3 linked regions of the Drosophila melanogaster genome follow. The protein of the gene in region 2 purifies or fractionates together with the protein of the main gene of each other region. This does not show direct contact. Each region holds a gene or a part of one and is shown on either strand. Other genes may lie near its edges.

Region 1 (7,042 bases), on a different chromosome or scaffold from region 2:
AAGAGTAAAACTTCAGCTGGATATTACTAGTATATTTGTTCAAGTTTAATGTGAATTTGTATTACAAACACAACGCAAACAATAAACAACTACTGGTGTGGTGTACATTCGTTTTAAAATTAAACACTAGGTACTAGTCCGCTGAAACGGAATTTATTTTTAAAACATTTACATTTACAGTAGGCTTCAATTTACATTAGATCAGAATGAGAGTTTTTGATTCAAGAATGTACGCGATTGAAGGACCTGGCCGCCCGCACGTGTGCGCTATCTTACAGGCTATTCTAAAGTACATATTAACAGCTAATACATACAGTACGAACCCTAAGCATAAGTGTAGTTGGACGCTCTACTCAAGGACACAGCCCATTCCATTGTGTTCAATCATGGTCTACCGAGAATCAAATATGTCTTGAGTGTCTGGCCAGCAGGATGCAGGGATGCCTCCAACGCGGGGTCTCATGGCCCTGTCTGGTGTTCACAGATGCTACAGAATTTCTACATGTCAAAGTCCTCCAGGCCGAGGAACTCCCTTTCTAGAGCGGCGCCCATCATGTTCCATTCGCCGTCGTCCTCGTCCTCCGGTTCCTTCTCGCTGTTGGACTCGGATCCAAGCTCCAGGTCGGAAGGCAGGTCTTCCCCTGGAACATTGATGCAAATATTAAAAGGTTAACACAAGTTTTGTGCGGACGGGCTACCTCGCCTAAACTTGGCGCTGGGCATCTCATCGTCATCGTCCTCCTTCTCGTTATTGTCATCGGCCTCCTCGTTCGAGCTAATGTCCACCTCCACGAGGTTTGGCGCTCCAATCATTATATCATCGCTTCGCGTGAAAAAGTCGTGAGCTCTGTTGGAATTATCATCTTCGCGCTTTCTCTTCAACAGCTTCTTGTCCATTGGTGGATTTTCTTGAGTTATTAAAGACGTATTCGATTAAACGTGGATACAGACACATGGATTAATAAGTAAAATACCTACCAAAATTTACAGGACCCTCGTCGCTGGACGAGTCTGACTCGAAGAATGTTTCGTAGTCCTTATTCATAGACTCGATATCTGCGTTGGTGAAGACCAGCAGCGGATTCAGCGTTTCGCGGAAGTTGCCGCTCTGCTCCTCCTGCTGCTTGCTGCTCGAGGGTGAGATCTCCGAACGCTCGCTGTAGTTAACCACGTGCTCGGGACTATGGCAATGGGCGGGTGGCTGGCGACCCTTGTTGCGTACCTTGCGGTCCAGTGGAAAGAGCTTCTCCTCCACGTGCTCCCAGCGCTCGGCGCAGGTCCACAACCAATTCGCATTGACCACTTTAATGGCAGGCTCTTTTTTGGCGGCGTTAACCTTGTAGGTGCCTGCGTTGACCGCCACTAGATGCGTTATCTCCTTGTCAATATTGGGCTTCACTTCGGCGCCCAGGCTCTTGGCTATGAAATACGCCCGCGACTGCTCGAGCTTCATCTGCGTGGGCACCAGGCCGGAGAACACCAGGTTCTTGCCGCGCAGCACTTCGCTCCGAATCTTCGGAACGATAACCTTTAGATCGGGTATTTCCGTGGTTTCGTCGTAAATAGAGTAGAATCGCTTGTGAATGTTACGAAGTATGACCTCTAGATACAGCAGGTAATCGTCGGGGTCTTCAATCTCTATCTGCTTTTGCCCCTCGAGCGGTGCTCGTAAGCTGGGCGTCTTAGACGTGGTGGCCACATCAGCGTCAGCAGACGGGCGCTTCTCATCCGGCGAAGTGGTGGATGAGGCTACAACCTCATTCTTTTCTGCCGGTGTGGGGGGCACCTCGGCTTTTGTGCTCTCCTTGGAATTATCATCAATAACTACTACGTCTTCGCCATCGCTGGCTGCTTTTTCAGCATCTGGTGAGCCAGATGAGCTGTCGTCTATGACCACAATATCCTCAGCATTAGTCTTGCCATTCAATTTGTCTCTCGGCTCTTTGGGTGCTTCTGTAGCGCTTGAGGCGTTGGAAACCTCTGGATCCTTGGCATCGCCCTCTATTTCGAACACGTCTACTGACTCCTCGTTTACATCGTCATCTTTGCTTGTGCTTGTGACGGTATTATCACCCTTATCGGTGTCTTCTGGTTTGACTTCGCTGCTGGATTCCGTCTTATCTTTGTCCCCATGCTTCTCGGTAATCTCTGCAACAAATGGAAATATCGTTAGAAACATTCAAGTCAGCTTGCTGGAACACCCAACCCACCTTTAAAGTCAACGCCTTCGCCATCCAGTTCATGCTTAGACAAACCCGGCGGGGCATTGATGTCACCAGTGTGTTGAAAGAAGTGGTAGGGCTTAACCTGAATCAAATTTGAAGCCATGTTCCACACATCCTCGCGATCGTCAATGATGCACACCATGGAATCGCCATTCGGAAACAGAGCCCTGTAATATACAATTTGTAGATTATTGTTTAACACGTTTAACAAGTGAAAATCCAAACAGCTTTCAGGTATAGAAACGCACTTTAAATTGTCCGTCTTGCTGGTGGCGTTGAAACACTCGTCTCTGGACAGAATCCTGTGCGAGAAGAACTTGCCCTCCGGGTCCAGCAGCTGGGCAATCATGTGCGCGTAGTTACGCGCACCAAAAGTGCAAATGTGCAGTTCGTACAGCTGGGACATGCGCTCCAGAAACTCGGCGGTGCCGGGGCGCAGGCGCGTGTGGTACCACGGGGAATGTGGGCCGTACAGCTGGAAGTGGTAGATGCCCTTGATGTTGTCCGGCACAGTGTCGTTGGTGGTGTGGATCACCGTCTGATCGAGATCGACAAGCAGGACCAGCTTCCTATCCGCCAGCAGGCGGCGGGTGTCGTCGTGCCCGAGCTTCTGGGCCAGCTTCTGGGTGACCTTAAGATCGGGCATGGTGTGCACCATTGGCACCGAGGCCTCGGAGGTCTGTCCCTGCGGGTTAAATGTTTAATTATTCTATATGCCCCTTGAGGTGGGTGGCAATGTGCACTCACATTCTCGTTCTGACGCAAGTCGGCTCCGCAGTCCGCGCACATGTCCTTGATGACCGTGGTGTGTATGCACTCGGACAGCTCCAGAATGGCATCCCTAAAGAACAGGCTCGGTTAGTGTGTATACGGCTGCATAATTGCATTCCCCCACGCCCAATCGCCGCCCGATTGCAACCCCCAAACTCACCCCTTCGTAAGAAGCTCCCCTTCCTTGCGAAGGCGCTTCTTCACCACTCCGGCGCGCTGGGACTTGTACCTCTGGATGGCACAGTCCCCGCCCGGCTTTCCCGCGTCCTTCGCGTCCTTCGCGTCCACGCCCACGGGCTGGTAAAGAAACAAGATTTGGGCCGCCGACACGAATTGTCCCTCGCGAACCCGCCATTTATTGATTACCGCTCTCGCCTCGTTCTCTCCCAGCGCAGCTCTCAAAACAATGATGCCGCCACCGCTGGTGTTGTTGTTGCTGTTGCCGCTGGCGCTGTTCTTGGCTCCGCTTCCTCCGCCGCCATCGTCGCCTTCGGCAGCTCCAGATGCGGCCACGCCCCCTGGCGCGCGGCTGGGCGTCGCGCCCTCCTCGTCCGGTATGTTCTGCATCGCAAGGCTTACGTTTTTATATACAAACGATTTGTTTAAATCCCAGTGCCTTGTTGTGTTTGCAATTTGTGTGAATATTGCGCGGAATTCGCATAAGAGCGCGGACAACTTTTGTAACTGCTCTCAAACAGCTGACTGAGCGCGAAAGGCGGAAAGTACTGATGGGGGTTTCACTTCGATTTGGTTAGTTAATGTGCGTAATTAACCATTAATTGGTAATTCAATTTATTTTACTCGTTTCTTTTAGTTTTGAGTTAAAATACAGGATATTCGTCCAAAGATATCGCAGAATCATTTGAATCAGCTGCTTTTGACCGTTAACCAACACTGTTTAATCGGCGGCAAACTAGTTCAGTCGTATTTTGTTTATTAACTTCCAAAATGAGTGATAAAACCAAGGAAGACCTGAAGCGCAGTGCCCCGGAGGAGGAGAATGAGCCCCAGGAGGAATCTGTGTCATCCGAAAAAGAGGCGGAAGGCGAGGAAGACGCCTGGATTGGACCCATGCCTTCAGAGCAGAGCGCTCCCGCGCCCGCCAAGAAAAAGAAGGGTTATTATTAAGAATTAGATTTCATTTAACTATAACTAATCAATAAATAGTCCTGCCCTATGAACACATCTACCTGGAAAACCTGCCCAATGCTGAGAGCTACGAGAGGAGCTACATGCACCGCGATGTGATCACTCATTTGGTGTGCACGAAGACGGATTTCGTAGTGACCGCCAGTCTGGATGGACACATCAAATTCTGGAAGAAGGGCGAGCTGGGCATCGAGTTCGTCAAGCACTTTCGCAGCCACCTAGGTGGGTTCTTGATCCACATAACGTGTATTTCTTCGTTTAACCAAGTGTTTGTTGCAGTACCCATCAAATCACTGACCACCAACGACAGCGGCACGCTGCTCTGCTCGGCGGCCACGGATCAGACAGCCAAGGTCTTCGATGTTGTCAACTTCGACATGATCAACATCATTCGATTGGGCTACACACCGCAGTGCAGTGAGTGGATAAATGGGCCGGGAGATGCCGTACAAGCACTGGCCATGTAAGTACCTTATCAATATCTGGAGATTAATGATTCTGATTGCTCCTCCTCCAGCTCGGATTCAGAGAGTAGCCGCATACACATCTACGACGGGCAAGGAGGCGGAGAAGCCCTTCACACCTTGGAGAAACTTCACTCGGCGCCCGTGGTGGCGATGTGCTTGAATGTGGCCATGGAGACCGTCATTTCTGTCGATCGCAATGGCATTCTCGAATACTGGCAAAACTCGAAGTACGACTACAAGTTTCCACAGCGTCTGGTGAATTTTGACTCCAAGCTAGACACAAGTATAGATCGATGATTAAGCTGAGTGAACCTAGACTCATCTAAATATTAACCTTTTAGGCCTCTTTGAGTTTGCCAAACAGAAGACCCAAGTCACGGGTTTAGCCGCCACGCCGGATGGAAAGCGTTTTGCCGCCATTTCCACAGATCGTAAGGTCCGCGTCTTTCAGTTCAACACGGGCAAGTTGATCCGGGTATTCGATGAAGCTCTATCTACATACACCCAAATGCAGCAGACGAAGCACGCCCTGCCCAACATGGAGTTTGGCAGAAGGTAAACTAGAATAAAATAGTTATTATTTATTGGTTTAAAGATATGAATTCCAGAATGGCGGCTGAGCGGGATCTGGAGAAGACTGCCCAGAATGCAACCCTTAATATTTTGTTCGACAGCACTGGCAACTTCTTGCTCTACCCAACGATGTTGGGCATCAAGGTGATCAATGTGGTAACGAATCGCTGCGTCACAATTCTAGGAAAAACCGACAACATACGGCCCCTCCAGGTGGCCTTGTTTCAAGGAAGAATTAAGCGCCAAAAAGCTGCTATAACAATGGAGCAAGAGGCCAGTGAAAACCCAGCACTCCAGAATATCCTTAACGATCCAACAGCCTTTTGCACTGCTTACAAGTTAGTTCATACCGTTTTGAATTATATCTATGCTGTATTATAATGTCCATTCTACTACTCTTATTAGAAAAAGTCGCTTCTATTTGTACAGCCGAAGACTGCCCTCGGATCTGCAGGATGTCGACCGCGATATTTTCAACGAGAAGCCCTCGAAGGAGGACATTATCGCCGTGCCGGAAGCTTCAGGTATTTTGGTTTGGCTTATCCCATTAACCTTTCTTAACTAACCCAAAACATGTTTCTATTGCACGCCAACAATATTTTAAGACGAAGGTTATTCCTATCAGATATTTCAAGAACAATTCATTACAAAATGTTCCTTCTATTCTAGTCGTGCAACGCATCTACGAGAACGTGGTGCTCCACACCACGAAAGGCGATATCCACATGAGGCTGTTCTTCAAGGAGGTTCCAAAGACGGTTGAGAACTTCTGTGTTCATGCGAAAAATGGGTATTATATATACGTCAACTGTTGAGAACTGTCCCATTGCAATCACATTATTTTGTCAGGTACTACAATGGACACATATTCCATCGCGTGATCAAGGGCTTCATGGTGCAGACTGGCGATCCCACGGGAACGGGCACGGGCGGCAAATCCATTTGGGGAAGCGATTTCAAAGACGAGTTCGTGCCGAGCCTGAAACACGATCGGCCCTACACGGTCAGCATGGCTAACGCGGGTCCAAACACGAATGGAAGCCAGTTCTTTATCACAGTCCTGCCCACGGTAAGGATGAATGCAGCGGTGATTAGTTTACTTTACTGGATTGACTAAGTACCAATCTCTAATTGCAGCCCTGGCTCGACAACAAGCACACGGTGTTCGGAAGAGTTTACCGCGGCATGGAGGTGGTTCTCAACATTTGCAATTCCAAGGCGAATCCCAAGACGGACAAGCCCTACGACGACATTAAAATTATTTCGATACACTTAAGTAATTGAGCAGAGGGCTAAAATAAAACTTTCAGCGACACTGGTTTTCAAATCTTCGGAGAACCGCCAATGCGCCGCAAAGAATTTTGGTATTTTTTTTTAACTCGGTTTTTTTGGTGTTTTCCCAGCCCGGCACACTAAACAGCTGATTCGTTTCTTGCATTCGGTGTTCCTTTTGTTTCGATAGTGCAATTAATATAAATTGGGACAACTGCAAATCTAATAGTATTATTAGAACCGGAATTAGTTGTGCACCTTCTAGTATTAGAGACTTATTAACATAACCAACCTGTGCCTACCGGAAATATAGAGGTACTTCTCGCAAATTATGCGGGTTCTTGCAAGATAATACGATACCATTTGTTTATGGCTGAGTAAAAAAAAAACAAAGAACTCCAGGCTGACGAGTCATTTGTGCGTATCGGCACTGAATCTGCTCCAGATTCGAAAACTAGGTTTATTTACATTTGCATGCAAAGGTATATTGTCTTCGATATGTGAATTGTAGTATACGTACATAGTTGCCTTTATTTCCAGACATGAGCTAGGCCAAATATAACCGCTCGCCATGTCCAATATGGA
Region 2 (8,089 bases):
CGGGCTTGTGATCGCTCTGCCGAATCTCCATGATGCTGTTGTAGGCCAGCTGCTCGATGCGCGTGCCCTTCCAGAGCACTCGATCGCAGTAGGCCGGCGCCCGCTGCTTCTCGCTGCTGTCGTAGTTGTCCGTGCCCGGATCATACTTGTACGTCGGCCGGAACTTGATCTCGCCCTCGGTGTAGCCCTCAAAGCACTTTCCACGCCGCATCTCCTGACGTAGCTGGTCGTACTGCAGTAGCAGCTCGTATGTCTGGGCATCGCTCAGTGGTCCTGGTCGCTGTTGGCCGGGCGGCTCCTGGATGCGGTAATTCAAATCGCCGACCCAGAAGATGTGACTAGAAAAAGACAGAGATGGAGTGAAATAATACTGACTTATACTTATGCCTTCTTCCCCAAACTTACTCATGGTCACTGATTGTTCGGCCATCATCGAAGCGTATGCCCTCCACGATAGCGTTGTAGTCCTGATTCCGCTCCTCCACGTAGCCCATGTGGGCGGCCAGGTGGGAGTTCACAAAGCAGATGTTGCCCTCGTTGAGCTGCAGGCTAATGGCGACACCGCCCTTGTTGCCTAGCGTATTGAAGATGCCGCGGGCCACCGACTTTGGTCGGCAGCGTATGATGTGCTGCCGCAGCTGCTTGCGCACGATGACCGTCAGCATGGTGGCCACCAGGCGGTGCGACATCAGGATTTCGTACTCTACGTCAGGGTGGACGCTGTCCATCATCTTATCGCTGCGGGAGAAAGAACCAACTTAGACTCTCGGTAACGAGGCTATATAACTTATGTGGCACACTCACATCCATTGCTTCTCGATGGCCTGCACCTGGGTGGAGTTCAACATAGCCTTTGTGGGAGTATCTAGCTCCTGCAGTCCAATCGCGTAGATATCCGGCGGCTTCTCACTGCAAGCCAGCCAGGCTCGCAGTGGATTGTTGCTGTCGCTGCAGGTCTTGTTGTTCACATTCCAAGTGGCGCAGTAGATGCTGCAAGGATTGAATAAATGTGCGTGAGAACTCTTGCTTGACAGGGCATTTTCCATCTCACATTATGTCCTTGTAGACAATGTACTCGCTCTCCCGCTTCTTCAGCTCCTGCTTCACTTCTCCGATTTGCCGGTAGTCATTCAGCCACCTGAAGTTAAGCACCGTCTCGGGATCATGCTGCGCCATGGTGCTCTTGAAGGAAATCACCTTGGCCACAAACTCCTCGTAGTGGTGGCTCTCCGTGGCGTAGTAGTAGTACTTGATGGGGCCATCCTCGGCTGTGGACAGGTCAAACTGTTGCGTGGTGATCGAGCTCTTGCTGTCTGCAAAAAATTTGGAAAATGATATATGAAAAAGAGCGAGCTTTCACTAATTAGTTTGCTTTCATCTCAGCTGAAACTATTTGAGATACCAATATTATCATAAGTAAATGCAGTCGTAATCTGTTATGGCCAATAATGAGCGCAAACTTATTGGTTTTGTGACTACTTGACAAACAGTTACTGGGCAATTTGTTTGGCTAGCATAGTCAAGCTGTGTGATGAACATGCACCCTTCATCTCACCCTGTCGCAACTGGAAATTGTGGTCGATTGCGAACACCTTGTTGATGATCAGCTCGTTCGCGGAGGACAATGGAGTGCGCAAGTAGGAGAACGCGATGATGGCAAACGTGCCGCCCGACTGCGATGAAACCAGGGCCAGAAGACGGTTGGAGTACTCTGGTCCTTTGATCTGATACGCCTCGAATATCTATAAGCAAAGGATTGTTTAATAGCAGCCGTTTTAGGTTTTTTTCTGAGCGAAGACGTGAGTGTGATTTAGGCGTAAGGTTACTTGTTAGCGATAATTAATCATCATTTTAGTGTATTTAGCATGTTTCCTGCTAATATTCGTCATTATACTTTAAAAGTCAATCATGATTGACCAACACTCCTTTCTAAACCTTCGCCTGCTTTGATTCGCCAGATCTGATGATTGCTTACGTATTCTATGGTCTCGTCCTCCTTGAAGCGCTCCTTGACAATGTCCTTGGTCGTCCTGGTGGCCGCAGTCGCGGTTCCATTGGCCACTGCCTCGCTCAACGTGTCCATTTGTCTCCGGATTCTGAGTACTGATAGGGTTTTCGAGTGCGCTTCGCTTTCCCCGCCAAGTCGGATTCTCCTCCGCCGCCTGTTTGCGAAGAGATGGCTGCGCTAATCGCTGAATGAAGGGCAGTACTTGAGGGGTTTTTCTTCTGCGTCGATAAATGTGCGTGTAGATATGGATATGGGCTGTATGGACAGTTTGCTTGTTTGCGTCGTTGCTCTTTTCTATTTATAGTTGGCGCGAACGCCCAGTGACTTGTCTTCGTCTGCTGCGGGGTCGCCTGCGAATGGGAATTCTTCGGGTCTTCGCTGGACTGGGAGCTGGCTGCTTGGTTTCTGGTGGCGAGGGCGTCACTGCAACTGGCCGGGGGGTGACCCTGCTCTTGGGCAGCGCGACCGTGGCGGAAGAGCAGTTGAGTTGTGGAATCGTGTTCAGTGCTTATCGCAGCCGTTTGTTTGTTTTCTCGCTTGCTGTGTTGTTGTTGTTGTTGCCTCCATCAAGGTGGGTGTATCGCACACACACGCACACGCACACACTCGCGCCCAGGGGCACTTATTCATCGGCAATGCGATGACAATTATTGGCAATCCAGCGCGATCTTACTAGGCTCGGCCGGCTGATGGGGCGCGGGAGAGGTGGGTGTTAGTACACACAGCACAGACAGAGTGGCACGCGTGCTAATTACCGCGCTGCGATCATTATTTATTTCCAATTATTTTCCGGGCGACTCTTGTAGCCGTTTTCGCGGTGTGACCAGTGTGGCAATGCTACGAAATGCGGCGTTCGAGCGAGTCCAATCAGAATTGGTTGGCGACCCGACTAAGCGTGTGACCAGCCTGCAAGTGCCATTACATACCGCATACCGCGTGCCGCAATCGCTCCAGTGGCCAGCAAACGAGTTGAATTTTTGGGGAAACTACTGGGTTGCAACGCGAGAAGATGGCCCAATTCGAGAAGGAGATCGTTCAGGCGGTGCTGATCGCCGACAACAATGTGTGGAACTTCAAGCCCCTCTCCGACGAGGGCTCTACGGTGAGTGAGCGCCACTGGAATAGGTGAATATCCATTGACTGTCGACCGTTGGATTCTTTGCAGGCCCTGCTGCCGCTGGTCAACGTGCGGATGCTTGACTACGCTCTCATGGCGCTGAACCGCAGCGGCGTGGAGGAGGTGTTCGTGTACACCAGCCTCTATCGCTCGAGCATCCGGGAGCACATCAGGTGGGTTCAGTTGCGGCAGCTGGCAGGATGATGCAATTATGGGTGCTAAACGCTCGATTCGCGTTTTTTGCAGGGCCGGCATTGCCACGGACGCAGCCTGGTCATTCAAGATGACCGTCCATGTGATTGGCGGCGAGGGTTGTCGCTGCTTCGGCGATGCCATGCGTGATTTGGACAATAAGGCGCTGATCCGTGGCCACTTCATTCTGCTCGGCGCCGATACGGTGACCAATGCCGATCTGCGCCCAGTGCTGGAGCAGCACAAGCGGCAGGCCAAGTTCGACAAGGGCACGGCCGCCACGCTGGTGTTCAAGGAGTGTGCCAACAATGTGCGCACTGGCAACGAGGTGCTGATCGCCGTGGACCGTCGCAACGACCGGCTGCACTACCACCAGCGGCTGCGGATGCACCACAAGGAGAATCGCTACCAACTACCACTAGATGTCTTTCTGGGCAACTCGTGTGTGGCGCTGCACCACAACCTCCTAGATCCGCAGATTGCCATTGGCTCGCCCTCAATGCTGTCCCTGTTCAACGACAACTTTGACTTTCAGACGCGTGATGACTTCGTCAGGGGTTTGTTGATAAACGAGGAACTGCTGGACAGCAGGATATATGTGGCACTGCTCCCGGCAGCCCAGTACGCGCACAAGGTGAACAACTGGCCGGCCTACCAGCTGGTTAGTCGGGACATTATCAACCGGTGGGCCTACCCCTTCGTTCCGGACATAGGCCTTTACAAGCTGCAGCAGGAGTACGTCTTCCACAAGGACAACATCTACAAGAGCCCCGAGGCGCATGTCTCGAAAGTGGCTTTGCTCCAGAACGTGGTCATCGAAGCGGGCAGTCACGTAGACAGTGGCTCAGTGATTAGTGACAGCGTGATTGGCGCCAATTGCCGGATCGGCAAGAACTGTCGACTGACCAATGCGTTCCTCATGGCCGACGTCACCGTAATGGACAACTGCAGACTGGAGCACTGCGTGGTGGGCGAAGGAGCCATCATCAACGAGGATTGCGACGTGAGCGCGGGCTGTGTGCTCGGTGCTAAAAGCGTGCTGCCTGCCAAGAAAACGCTGGCGAAGACCCTTATCACCAGAACGCCCAGCAGACGGCGTAGCGATGATGAGGTGGTAGTGGAGCTGAAGTCCATCGGTCCGCATGCCTATATTGTCAGCGATTTGACGACGGGTGATCCCGAGGACTCGGAGTGCGAGGACTTGTTGCCACAGCAGCCGCTCAGTATACCCAAAATGGGAGACTTGCTGGCGCCGCTGGACGAGATCAGTTACTGCAGCGATTTTAGCGAGGACGACGAGGATGCCTCGCGAGCGGTAACGCCACTGCCCGATGACACAAACAGTGAGTGTTGTCCACAAGTGCAGTTGAAAGTCATTCTAATCATGTTTACCAATTGCCAATTCTAGTTTTCCTGGGCGAAGTCATCGATTCCTTGACACGGGGCTTCCGGGAGAAGTCCAACCCTGACTTCCTTGTCCTAGAAATCAACTCCTCGCGCTATGCGTACAACATGTCCCTCAAAGAAGTCAACTTCAACGTGGTGAAGGCCGTTTTTGGCATGCAGAGCATCGTGGAACCGGCCAACGACAACGTACTAGTGGCCATAAACGCAGCCTTTAAACAACTGGGCCCTGTGGTATCCAACTACATTAAGAGCGAGGATTCCATGATGGATTGTCTCAAGGCGCTGGAGGTGAAGTCCCCATAATTTTCACACAAACCCACACCCACTTTACCAATCCCTTTTCCCGCAGGATGTGTACGAGGAGAATCATCTAGTGCGGGGGAAGATCTCGCAGATCGTGCACTATCTGTACGACAAGGACTTTGTGTCCGAGAGTGCCATTCAGGCGTGGTACGCGCAGTTGGACGAGGAGGAGCATGCACACCTGCGCCAAAGCCTCGCCAAGCTCGTGGCTTGGTTGGATCAATCCAGCGAAGAAGATGATGACGAGGAGGACGATGACTAAGCAAAGTCGTAGCCCTTATTCTTTATTCCCATTTGTTTAAGTCATTTCCTTGCTCATTCTAAGGAAATGGAAAATTAATGTAAGGTCGCTCGAAAATTCACATCGACATATTTTGGCCAAATTTCGACTTTGCGTCCGAAATCTGCTAGTTTTTTGGCCACAACGTCGGAAATAATTGGCGAAAGATGAAGTGTGATGCATCGTTGAGCTTGTAATTAAAATCCAAATCGACTGACATTCAAGCCTGAACATTTTTATTTTTTCACATTTCTCGCAAAAAATGTTCCACTTAGAAAAATTCAAAATTTGTAAAAAAAAATATTTTCTTGTTTATTGAAGACTTGCTATAAATTTGTTATTAAACTTTCTTACAAAGTCAATGCAATATTTAAAAAAGTGTAATAGTACCAATGCTTTTTGAATTTTTAAAAACCCTTTCCTGGTATTTAAAAAAAAAAACGATAGTCAGTCAGAAAGCTATGCGGATTATTTTGTTAAATTTCCTATTGCAGCGTATTATTGAAAACTTTTCACGAAAACTTTTACCTAAGCTAAAGTCCAGGAGGCCGGCGTAGAAAAGAGACTAAAGATGCGGGTATTGGACATCGATTAGTCCTCTACAGATCCTTATCGTACACAAACTCCTCTTCCTCCTCTTCTTCCATGATCAGGCCGACCATGTCGTCCTCCTCGGTCTCGGCGGCCGATTGAAACTCCTCATCGGATTCCTTCATCGACTCAATGGTGATCTGCGTGTCCTCGGTCACAGCCGGATTGAGTGACTGCTCCTCCGGGTCCAGGTGCTGCTCCTCCAGTTCCAGGTGGTGCTCCTCCAGGTCCAGGTGCTGCTCCTCCGGGTCCAGGTGCTGCTCCTCCAGGTCCAGGTGATGCTCCTCCGGGTCCAGGTGCTGCTCCTCCAGATCGAGGTGCTGCTCCTCGGTGTCCTGATCCTCGTCTTGTCGCTGCTGGCTCGCATACCCTGCGTTTTCCGACCCGCCAGATTCCAGTTTCTCTTCCTTCTCTGTGTCTGTGTCCATGGGATGGCTACTGTGGTCCATCTTGTCAACTTCGCTGTTCTCCTTCCCTTCAACCTGCTTTGGACTGCCTTTCGCTTTTGTCTTGGAGGTATCTGCGGCGGGCTCCTCATCTGCCCCATGCTTGTGATCCTGCACATGGTCCTCATCGGTCTCGTCCTCGGATTTCAGCGATTTAATATCGTCGTCGCCATCCGCCACGCGACTCAAGCTCTTCTCCTCCAAGCGTCTGCTGATGTCCATGGCTATGTACTCCAGCCGCCCCTGGACACTCATCTGGAACACCTCGCGGTTTTCGCTGCAGATTAGATTGCTGCGCACTTCCTCGAGGCAGCCTTCGAGCACCTCGTTAACCTCGCTCACTTCGCAGTCGCCGCCGAGATTCTGGGTCACGATCAACAGCGTGGTCAGGTCCTTCAGCAGCTTTATCATCCGCGTATTCTTCACCATGCCCTTGTTGATGTCGTCGACCGTCTGTGACGCCTTGGCGCGGCACTCTTCGCGCAAATATGTCGGCGAAATCATGGCCTGGACATTGGGATTGCGTGTCAGGCTGGAGGACAGCTCCTGCACCTTGGTGAGCTCGAACATGAGCTCGGCGTTGATGCGCTCGATGGTCACGATGTTGAAGGCATACTGGCGCTGGAAGTTGACTGCAATCTGTCGGCGATGGCGATCCCCATTCTCGTCATGGCTTATCATATCGCCCATGGCCAGCTCGGCGGTGCCGTTCATCTTGTTGAGCCGCTGGATTCGATCCGCCTTAACTGCAATGTACTTCTCCAGGCGCACCAGGTGCTCCAACAGCGAGGTGGAGTAGCCGCGATTTCTCGTCAACTGCTGCCGAATGGGACTCACGCCCACCGAATCCTGTCCCAGCAGCGGATCACTCTTGTTCAGCTTCATGCTGAGCGCATTTCGTGCAGCCGCATTATTGGTGGCCAGGTGCTTCTGTGGCTTGAAGTAGAGTGATCCCGCTCCAGCTGCCGCTCCTGCACCGCCGTCTATTTTTTCCTTCTTCTGCAGATAGTTGTTGGTAAGATTTGCCGTGAAGCCCAGATTGGTGGTGAAGCCGAGGTTATTCGTTTGATAGATGCTCATCAAGTTCGGCCGGAAATCCTTCGTGAAGCTGTGCAGAGGCAGCATCTCGTGAAAGTTCTCCGACACAATCTCGTAGTCGGGGATGGCGTGTGTGCCCAAGCCGATTCGTTCGAAGGTCACTCGGTACATGGCGTTTAGTGAGTCGTAGGCGGCCACAGTGCCCGCAAAGATCCCGTCCTGGGGAGATCTTAATCTGGCAGTGACCTTGGTGCCCAGCGGCAGTGTCATCGGTATTTTCTCAGGCATGTCCGATAGCATGGAAACGGAGTCCTTGAACTCGCCTGGCTTCCGCGATTGCAGGGTCCGGATCACCTGACGCTTTCGGTCCAACTCCTTGCGCTCCTCGCTGAAAAATTTGGCGGAGCATCGCCGCGGCCTGCCCATCCTCCGCCTAATATTCACCCACTCGTGGCGAATGAGGCTCCGTGTGCCCAGCCTGGGTGCCAGTTCATTCACATGGTTCATAAACTCATCACGGCATTCGAATAGCGGCTTGTCAACGTACGAGTAGAACCACTCGGCTATGGCCCACTTGTGCGCTTTGGGCAACTTGAGCAGATTGCGCAGCCGAAGACCAATGGACTGGCCCAACCGCTTGTTCGCCAGCGCTGCAGCCTCAGCCTGGTTAGCTTCCTCCTCGGCGGCTGCTACTGCAGCCACCGCTG
Region 3 (7,336 bases), about 19 Mb from region 2:
AGGGGTGGAACAACGTCGATTTTGTCAGACACTATCGCTGACTGCTATTTCGCAACTATCGATTACGATACCCAGGGCTACAGCCCGATGTCCTAATAACGAAATCGGAATTGGAATTTGAAATATGATTCGATGATGATAGGGTCACATAAATGTAAGAACAAATTATTGCATTTCTGTCAGGCGTAATACTTGGTCATTTGGAAAACAATTATTTGTGTTTCATATATTATTTTTTTTCCTCGCTCGGGACGACTTTTCTTTGATTTGTTGTTTAATTGCAGGTCATACTTAAGCTAACGCAACTTACAATCCATTGTAAGGTATCTAAAGTTGATTTTTAGATCCGTTTATTCATAATGTGGAATCGCTTGTATTTTCACAATTTTCAGACGGGAGGGATAAACCAGATATTGAAAGGATGATGTTTTCTTCACATTCGGAAAAGCATATATCCACCCCAATTTATTACTAAAATTAAATATTCATTGCCATTTGAAATGATATTAATATAATATTAATAATAATTTTATTTTCGATATACAAGTTTATAGAATTTATTAAAGCTAGTAAGCTGGATTGGTAACGATATCGATAAGAGTGACCGATCTGGTCACACCGGCAGTGCGTATGCATCGCAGCAGGAAAATTTGCGTTTGGCGCGCACAATTCGTGGCAATGCTCACCACATTTACGGACATCGCGCGCCTGCGCAGGAGTTGCCTCCATCACAACACACACCTATGTTTGGTTCGCAGGATTAGGTTTTTTTTAAATTCGTTTATTTGACATATTACATTTAGCTAAGAACAAAAATAAAAAACAGAAAAACAGTTGGATGGCATATTCAGTATGTGTCGCACGTTTCAAGGCACCTTTGAGCAGCATTATTACCGTCTTGCTGGTCGAGTCGGCAACGCCAACTTCAGCTCCTTGGAGTGCAGGGCGTTGGACATCACCGTGCGATCTTTGGTTTGACACCGTCTTTGCCCTTACTCGGTTCTTCATAGCTAAAGAGGCCATTAGGGATGGTCTGTTGGCTAGCATCAGTTCTTGCGGTGCATTTGGCATGCGAATTCTCCTCCTCCGGCAGCCTCACGCGCAGCTTTAGTTGGAGATCCTTCAATCTGGCAAATGTGTTCTTCATTGCCAGATTAATGCTCCTCACCCCGTTGTATAATATATCTCCCATCTCCTCGATTTCTAGAAAAGGGGGCCTTGCTGGTTGGGCTCTGTTTGGGGGGGAGGTCACTTATAATGGCCCCTTGGGGGTGCCATCGTTTGGCTTATAGGGTGGGGTCCTTAGAACCTTGGACTGCAAGGTGTGCGGCCCTATACCATTCGCCAGGTGATGGTTACGGTGCTGGCCGATGAGGCTCAGACACAAACCATTCCGCCGGCCACCTTGGCTCAGACGCAAAATGGGTTTTTATTATGCTGCTGCCCGGCTGGTCAAGAGAGCAAGCGCAGCGTCATGGACTTAAGGGTTGGGTGTGAAGGGTGAAGTTCCGACGGGGGACTCATAAGCGGAGGGGTTGGCTATTGGTCTGCTCCGTGATTTTTACACTATTACTGTGTGTTAGAGACAGTCACTCCTGTCTCTATTTAGCTGCCGCGACACGGAAAATTTTCGGGTTTTCCAGGAGCGTTAACTCGATTCGCCCGGCTACTCGCGCGCGTCCCCAGTGCTCTGATTACACAGGATTAGGTTTTTTTTTTTTTAATTCGTCTATTGAACATTTAAGATTAAGATTAACAGATTAACAATGTAAAAGTAAGGAGGGCAAATCCAGGACCCCCCGCGGTATGGCCGTGAAGCATTGCTTCGCGAGGACGATCAGGATTTGCAATGCAAAACAAGATTTTTTCGCATGGTGCCAATTGATCAAAAATAATATAGATTTAAAGTCTAAGAACTTCTGAGGTGAAGGGCATATTTTGTCAAATTTACAATGCATGAACATACGTGTGCACACATACAGTTGTCTGCTATTCGCTGTAGCGCTCTCCGCTCTCTCGCTCTCTAACAAAAATTCGAGAGAGCCTGGAGCCACCTCTAGAGCCACGGCCAAAAAATCGTGTGCCAAAAAATCGTATGGCGTTACGCATCTTGTTATTCTAGTGTCTTTGCATAAACCAAATCATAGAATGCCTTAGGATATAAGTCATAAATTCAAGTATCCCATAAGAACCCCAATTCTGGTGACAATAAAAAATCCAGCCTGCCCTAATGTAAACATTAACATCCGCTGCCGAATTCGCTATTCCCACCAAAGGGTCAAAACCGCTAACGCAGCTGAAGTTCTCGGCTGATCAGTACCCATGCGCGATCCACTCAAGAGGGCACCCAATCCACCAGACATAAACATCCGCAGCCGCATTCACGACTCCCACCAAAGGGTCAAAACCGCTTACGAAGCTCAAATCCTTGGCTTATCCCAGCATCCATGCACGATCCACTCAATTCATAGAAATACATAAGAGGAGCCCTCTTTAGCTTAACACATAAAGAAGTAAATTTCAGTCAAGGGTTTGCTAAGCATTCGCTTTGCAACTTACAATTAAATTTAATTCTTTCACTCTACGAATAAGACCTGAATTGTCTCCGCTTCCACACTTTTAATTTTATTTGAATAAATTACAATTCCAATAAATTAATATCATATATATTTTTATATTGTTTTGAAATTCTTACTCGTTTGCCTCTGACTAGGATATTTTCCACATGAACCGCGGTTAACGACCAAAATGGGCAATTCAGGATGACAACTGTTTGTAATTTTTGGTATATTTATATTTATATTTATTTATATTGGGTGATGACTGTAAAATCCTCAGGGCATCCTAGGTTGGGTGGGTGCGCATGTATGTTCATTTGCAATTAATGCTTTTGATTACCTTTTTTTGTTCCTTTGATTATTTGAGATCTTAGGTGTGCAGAGTGGTGAGACGTCGATAGTTATCGATATTTCTATTGCGAGCTGTGTGGTAAGCCTGAGCTAGAGGCACTGCAATAACGAAGGATAAGCAGTTCGTAACAAATTATTGCATTACTGTCAGCCGTAATACTTGGTCATATTTGGAAAACAATTATTTGTTTTTCATATATTATATATATATATATATATATTATTATATTATTATTTTTAGATTTGTTGTTTAATTCACGTTAAGAATCCGTTTTAAGGTCTCTAAAGTTGCTTTTCGATCCGTTCATTTAAATTGTGTAATTTTCAGGCGGGTTTTATTTATAAATAGAGAGGGACCAGATATTGAAAGGATGAAATAAACTGTAATACCGGAAACATCTTACTAGATGCATTCTTCGCATTGGGAAATGTTAATATCCACCCTAATTTATGACTAAGATTAAAAATGCATTGCGATTTCTAATAATATTAATGTAGTATTAATATTTTCGATATACAAGCTTATAGAATTTTTTAAAGCCTATAAGCTGGATTGGTAACGATATCGATAAGAGTGATCGATCAACGGCAGCGCAACAGGTGTCGCCCTCTGGTAACACTGGCGGTGCGTGTGCATCACAGCAGGAAAATTTAAGAGGCGGAAAAAAGAACTGGATTTCCACGTAGAACGTTGCCTTTAACGCGCACGATTCGTGGCGATGTTCACCACATTTACGGACCTCGCGCGCCTGTGCAGGATTTGCCTGCGTCATCTGCGCGACCGCGACACCCACTGTCCCGATCCGCGACTCATCGCGATTCTGCAAAAGTTGCTGGACATCGACATATTGAAGCAGCCGCATGGATTTCCCACTGAGATCTGCAACCTGTGCCACAACGCGGTGGTCTACTTTGACGAGCTGCGCCAAGTGGCAAGGGAATCCAGCCAGAAGCTTATCGGATGGCAGCCAGTGGACATCGCGGTCGACAGGGTGGATATATATGTCCTTTTCGGCTTGTTAAACCTGGATTAATACTTTCTTAGTTCTTTCCTAGGTGAAGGAGGAGCCGCCGGACGAAGGACTCAAGGAAAACCATGAGGAAAATGAGCATGAACTGGAGGAAGAGCATGAAAAGCAGGCGGATGGGCAGCAGGTAGATCTGTCGAAGAAGCAGGAGGATCAGAAGAAGATTCTTGACGACCGGGAGGATGAGGAGTATCCAGATGAGTACGAGAACAGCCAGCAACAGCTTAGCCAAGGCACTGGTAGTAAACGACGCGCTGGCTTGGCCTGCGATCAGTGCGGCAAGCAGGTGTACAAGCTACCGTACTTGGAGGCCCACATCCGCAGCGTCCATCAGGGCTACTCGAAACCCTTCTTGTGCCGCAGCTGCGACAAGTCCTTCACTCGATATGAGCAGCTGCGCTCCCACATGCGCAACGCCCATCCACAGCTGGAGCAACTGCAGCAGGAGCTGCGCGACCTAATCTGCGAGCTGTGCAACCGGCAGTACAGCACAAAGAATGCCTTGGGCGAGCATTTAAAGCGTCATGCCCAGCGCAAGGAGCACGTGTGCGAGCACTGTGGAGTGGCCAAGGTGACCCGAACGGAGCTACTGACCCACCTGCGCACCCACAATCCCACCTGGGAGCGCTTCAAGTGCGAGCAGTGTCCGCAGCTCTTTCGCCACAAGAGCGCCATTAGCCGGCATGTTCGGGTGGTCCACGAGGGTCAGCGGCGGTTCCAGTGCGGTCATTGCGAGAAAAAGTTTGGCACGCATGCCTCGCAGGTGCGGCACGAGCGGCTGCACACGGAATCCACGGGCTCGGGAGAGGCAGCCGAGGAATGGCCCTTTGCCTGTATTCACTGCCAGAAGCCTTGCGTTTCGCGACAAACCCTTGAGTTGCACCTACGAAGGCACCGCGCGAGAAAGACGCACAGAAAACGAAGGGAGCACAGTCGGGAGAGTCAGGAGCAGGAGCAGGAGCACGACCGCGATCAGGAGCAGGGCGCTCGGGAAGCTCAACAGGATCAGCTCCGCAAGGGGGAAAAGCTACGGCAGAGAGATCTCTCCAGGGAAAGCCACCGAAATGAGGTGACCATGCAGACAAGCCAGCGGCCAAATGAGTGTCAACAAGGTCAAGAGTCCTACGATCCGGAACCGGATCCGCTGGAGGCAAGTCAGTGCAAGCTAGAGCAGGAAGATGCACTCGATCCGGAATGGCAGCACAAAATAGAGCAGGACGCAGAATCGCAAGACTCGGCGCGACTGGAAGGGCATTTCCATGACTACAAACCTATCCCTTCGAAAGCCTTATGATCAACTATAACCTATCCATATACGTCCGGTTACATACATCAGGTTAGCGCCCCTTGAGCAAAAATCTTTGATTTGAGATATTTAGAAAACTGTTAAAGCTAGAGTTTTGAAAATTGCTTTTCATTCAAACGTTGAACAATTCTATAAATGTAAAATTTATATAGGATGCAGTTTCTTGTTTATAGATTTTTATTTAAGTAAAAAAAAAATCCATAAATGGGTTAATTAAAATTGGGTTATCAGGATAACGCCCCCTAAGATAATTTAAGTTGGTTCGATTCATTTCGAAAGAAATTGGGATGATTAACACTTAAATATTTAAATTAGAATATTTTTAAAGGAAATTATGGACTTCACACATTCGTCTGGAAAGGGAATCATATATTTTTTTTGTAGGTAATCCAAAGTAATCGCAGACCAATCGAGTTTTATTCCGGTGAACGATTCGTTTTGAGTGGCATATTGTTTACCACCCTCGTATACCTTCCTAGCCAACCATACCCACACGTTATCTATTATATAGTAGTAGTATGGTGGTAGTAGTATGGAATCCATGTTTTTGCCAAACGTGCAGTGTGGATTGAGACACTGTCAATTTGAAAATGTCATTCTAAATTTCCAAAAACGTTTCTAAAGTAGGGAAATGCAGTTTTGAATTATAATCTTTTGCGTTCATTTTTGGTGTTTAAAACTGCAATTTACCTATAACCCGACTGTGACAGCGATCCAAAATGTACGCAAATCATAATAGTAATGAAAAAAGCCGTCTGGTTTCTCCAGATTAAATTTCTTCTTGTCCGAAAATACGACGCCACTCCTTAGACCAAGTCAAATGAGCTCGAGCAAAACTCAGACCCGCTTTTTTTCGCAACTTATTGAGAGGTGGTTTTATTTTCAGTTTTTCGTGTTTTATGTTTAGCTGTCTTAATCACCATTTGAATCAAAGATTTGATCTGGTTTTCAACACTTTTTCTCGAATTTTGGCGGAGAAGTCGTGGGAATTGGGAGGTATTCGAAGTATGGACCTGCGATCTGCCGCGGTAAAGACAAGGTTATTGCCACCATTATTTTTTTTTTCCATAAGTTTCGTTCTTTTGAATAAAGTTTATTATAGGGTTGCGACATCTGGCGGGTTTTCTGAAATTTTATGATTATGAGCATTAATAGAATGCTATGATATTGTATATTTCCTGCAGGGATAACAGGGTTCCTCTTAAAGCAAACTTTTCAATTCAACAGCATAACAAATTTTGTTGTCCTTACCTTAGGACCTTTTTTTTATCCTCAAGGAGAGAGGGAATGTCAGTGAACAAAAAACAACAACATTGATGAATTTTCGTGCAATGGCAAAACCAGAAAATAAAAATGAACGGAGCCATGCAGGGGGCGCTAATCTGATGACGCGTAGTGTATATCCAATGAACTATCATGCAAATGTGGCTAGGACGCATTAGCGAAAATTTTTAAATATCTTACTTTCACGACATTTTATCCTTGCTACTACAATGTATTAAATAGTTTTATATGTTCGCTTACTTCGTATTTTATACGTTTTATATGCTCGCTTACTCCATATTTTAAGTGCCTAATAAAACTGTTGACGATAATTGCTTTTCATGGAAGGACTTTTGTGACAACATTTTGGATATACTCTTTTTTTAAAGTGTATTTGTCAAGTGTAAAATTTTGTGTCACAAAAGGTAAATTCCGATATTCGTTTTTTGAAGGTGCGATAGTCATTAGTTTTTTCCTCGTAGATGTCAATCAGCAAAAAGCGCACTTTATAATTTAAAACTTACAGTGTATTTAAATTTATTATTATTTAGTCTAAACTAAAAAATATCGATACTTCCAAAAGCTCCCGTCGCTGGGAATATTTGCTGTTCTGCGCACGGCCACACTGAAACGGAATGTACATAAACAAGGCCGAAATTCGATCGGAAAGCACTTGCTGAATAAACGCCAGCTGATAAACACAAAGATGTCGGCCATATCGGGACGCGCCCTGCACTATGTGTTCAAAATCGGAGATCGGGCGAAAAACGCCTTCTTCTTTCGGCAAATCTTGGGAATGACGGTAAGCTGGGTGTGGCGGGCGTATCGCC

The links.
Region 1: the proteins of eIF2Bepsilon (region 2) and CG3511 purify together in Drosophila melanogaster (affinity purification with mass spectrometry, with the first as the bait; one large-scale study listed by BioGRID). This does not show direct contact.
Region 3: the proteins of eIF2Bepsilon (region 2) and CG1529 purify together in Drosophila melanogaster (affinity purification with mass spectrometry, with the first as the bait; one large-scale study listed by BioGRID). This does not show direct contact.

Annotation. Positions count from the first base shown.
Region 1 is NT_033778.4:24,567,962-24,575,003, forward strand, and holds CG3511 (uncharacterized protein), read left to right. Parts: upstream 1-3,665; 5' UTR 3,666-3,746; exon of another isoform or gene 3,747-3,810; 5' UTR 3,811-3,944; coding exon 3,945-4,113; intron 4,114-4,163; coding exon 4,164-4,367; intron 4,368-4,424; coding exon 4,425-4,608; intron 4,609-4,662; coding exon 4,663-4,895; intron 4,896-4,953; coding exon 4,954-5,167; intron 5,168-5,220; coding exon 5,221-5,523; intron 5,524-5,590; coding exon 5,591-5,709; intron 5,710-5,854; coding exon 5,855-5,975; intron 5,976-6,034; coding exon 6,035-6,254; intron 6,255-6,322; coding exon 6,323-6,469; 3' UTR 6,470-6,542; downstream 6,543-7,042. Other genes in the region: Fcp1 (TFIIF-interacting CTD phosphatase), read right to left, coding at 499-641, 699-908, 979-2,148, 2,211-2,392, 2,474-2,910, 2,973-3,066, 3,157-3,563; Start1, read left to right, coding at 7,029-7,042.
Region 2 is NC_004354.4:1,917,752-1,925,840, reverse strand, and holds eIF2Bepsilon (eukaryotic translation initiation factor 2B subunit epsilon), read left to right. Parts: upstream 1-2,966; 5' UTR 2,967-3,017; coding exon 3,018-3,110; intron 3,111-3,173; coding exon 3,174-3,298; intron 3,299-3,371; coding exon 3,372-4,660; intron 4,661-4,725; coding exon 4,726-5,012; intron 5,013-5,073; coding exon 5,074-5,289; 3' UTR 5,290-5,675; downstream 5,676-8,089. Other genes in the region: Ocrl (oculocerebrorenal syndrome of lowe), read right to left, coding at 1-338, 406-738, 805-990, 1,052-1,313, 1,556-1,742, 1,976-2,083; mip130 (Myb-interacting protein 130), read right to left, coding at 5,907-8,089.
Region 3 is NC_004354.4:21,028,152-21,035,487, reverse strand, and holds CG1529 (uncharacterized protein), read left to right. Parts: upstream 1-3,537; 5' UTR 3,538-3,628; coding exon 3,629-3,901; intron 3,902-3,954; exon of another isoform or gene 3,955-3,965; coding exon 3,966-5,231; 3' UTR 5,232-6,836; downstream 6,837-7,336. Other genes in the region: CG1532 (uncharacterized protein), read left to right, coding at 7,213-7,308.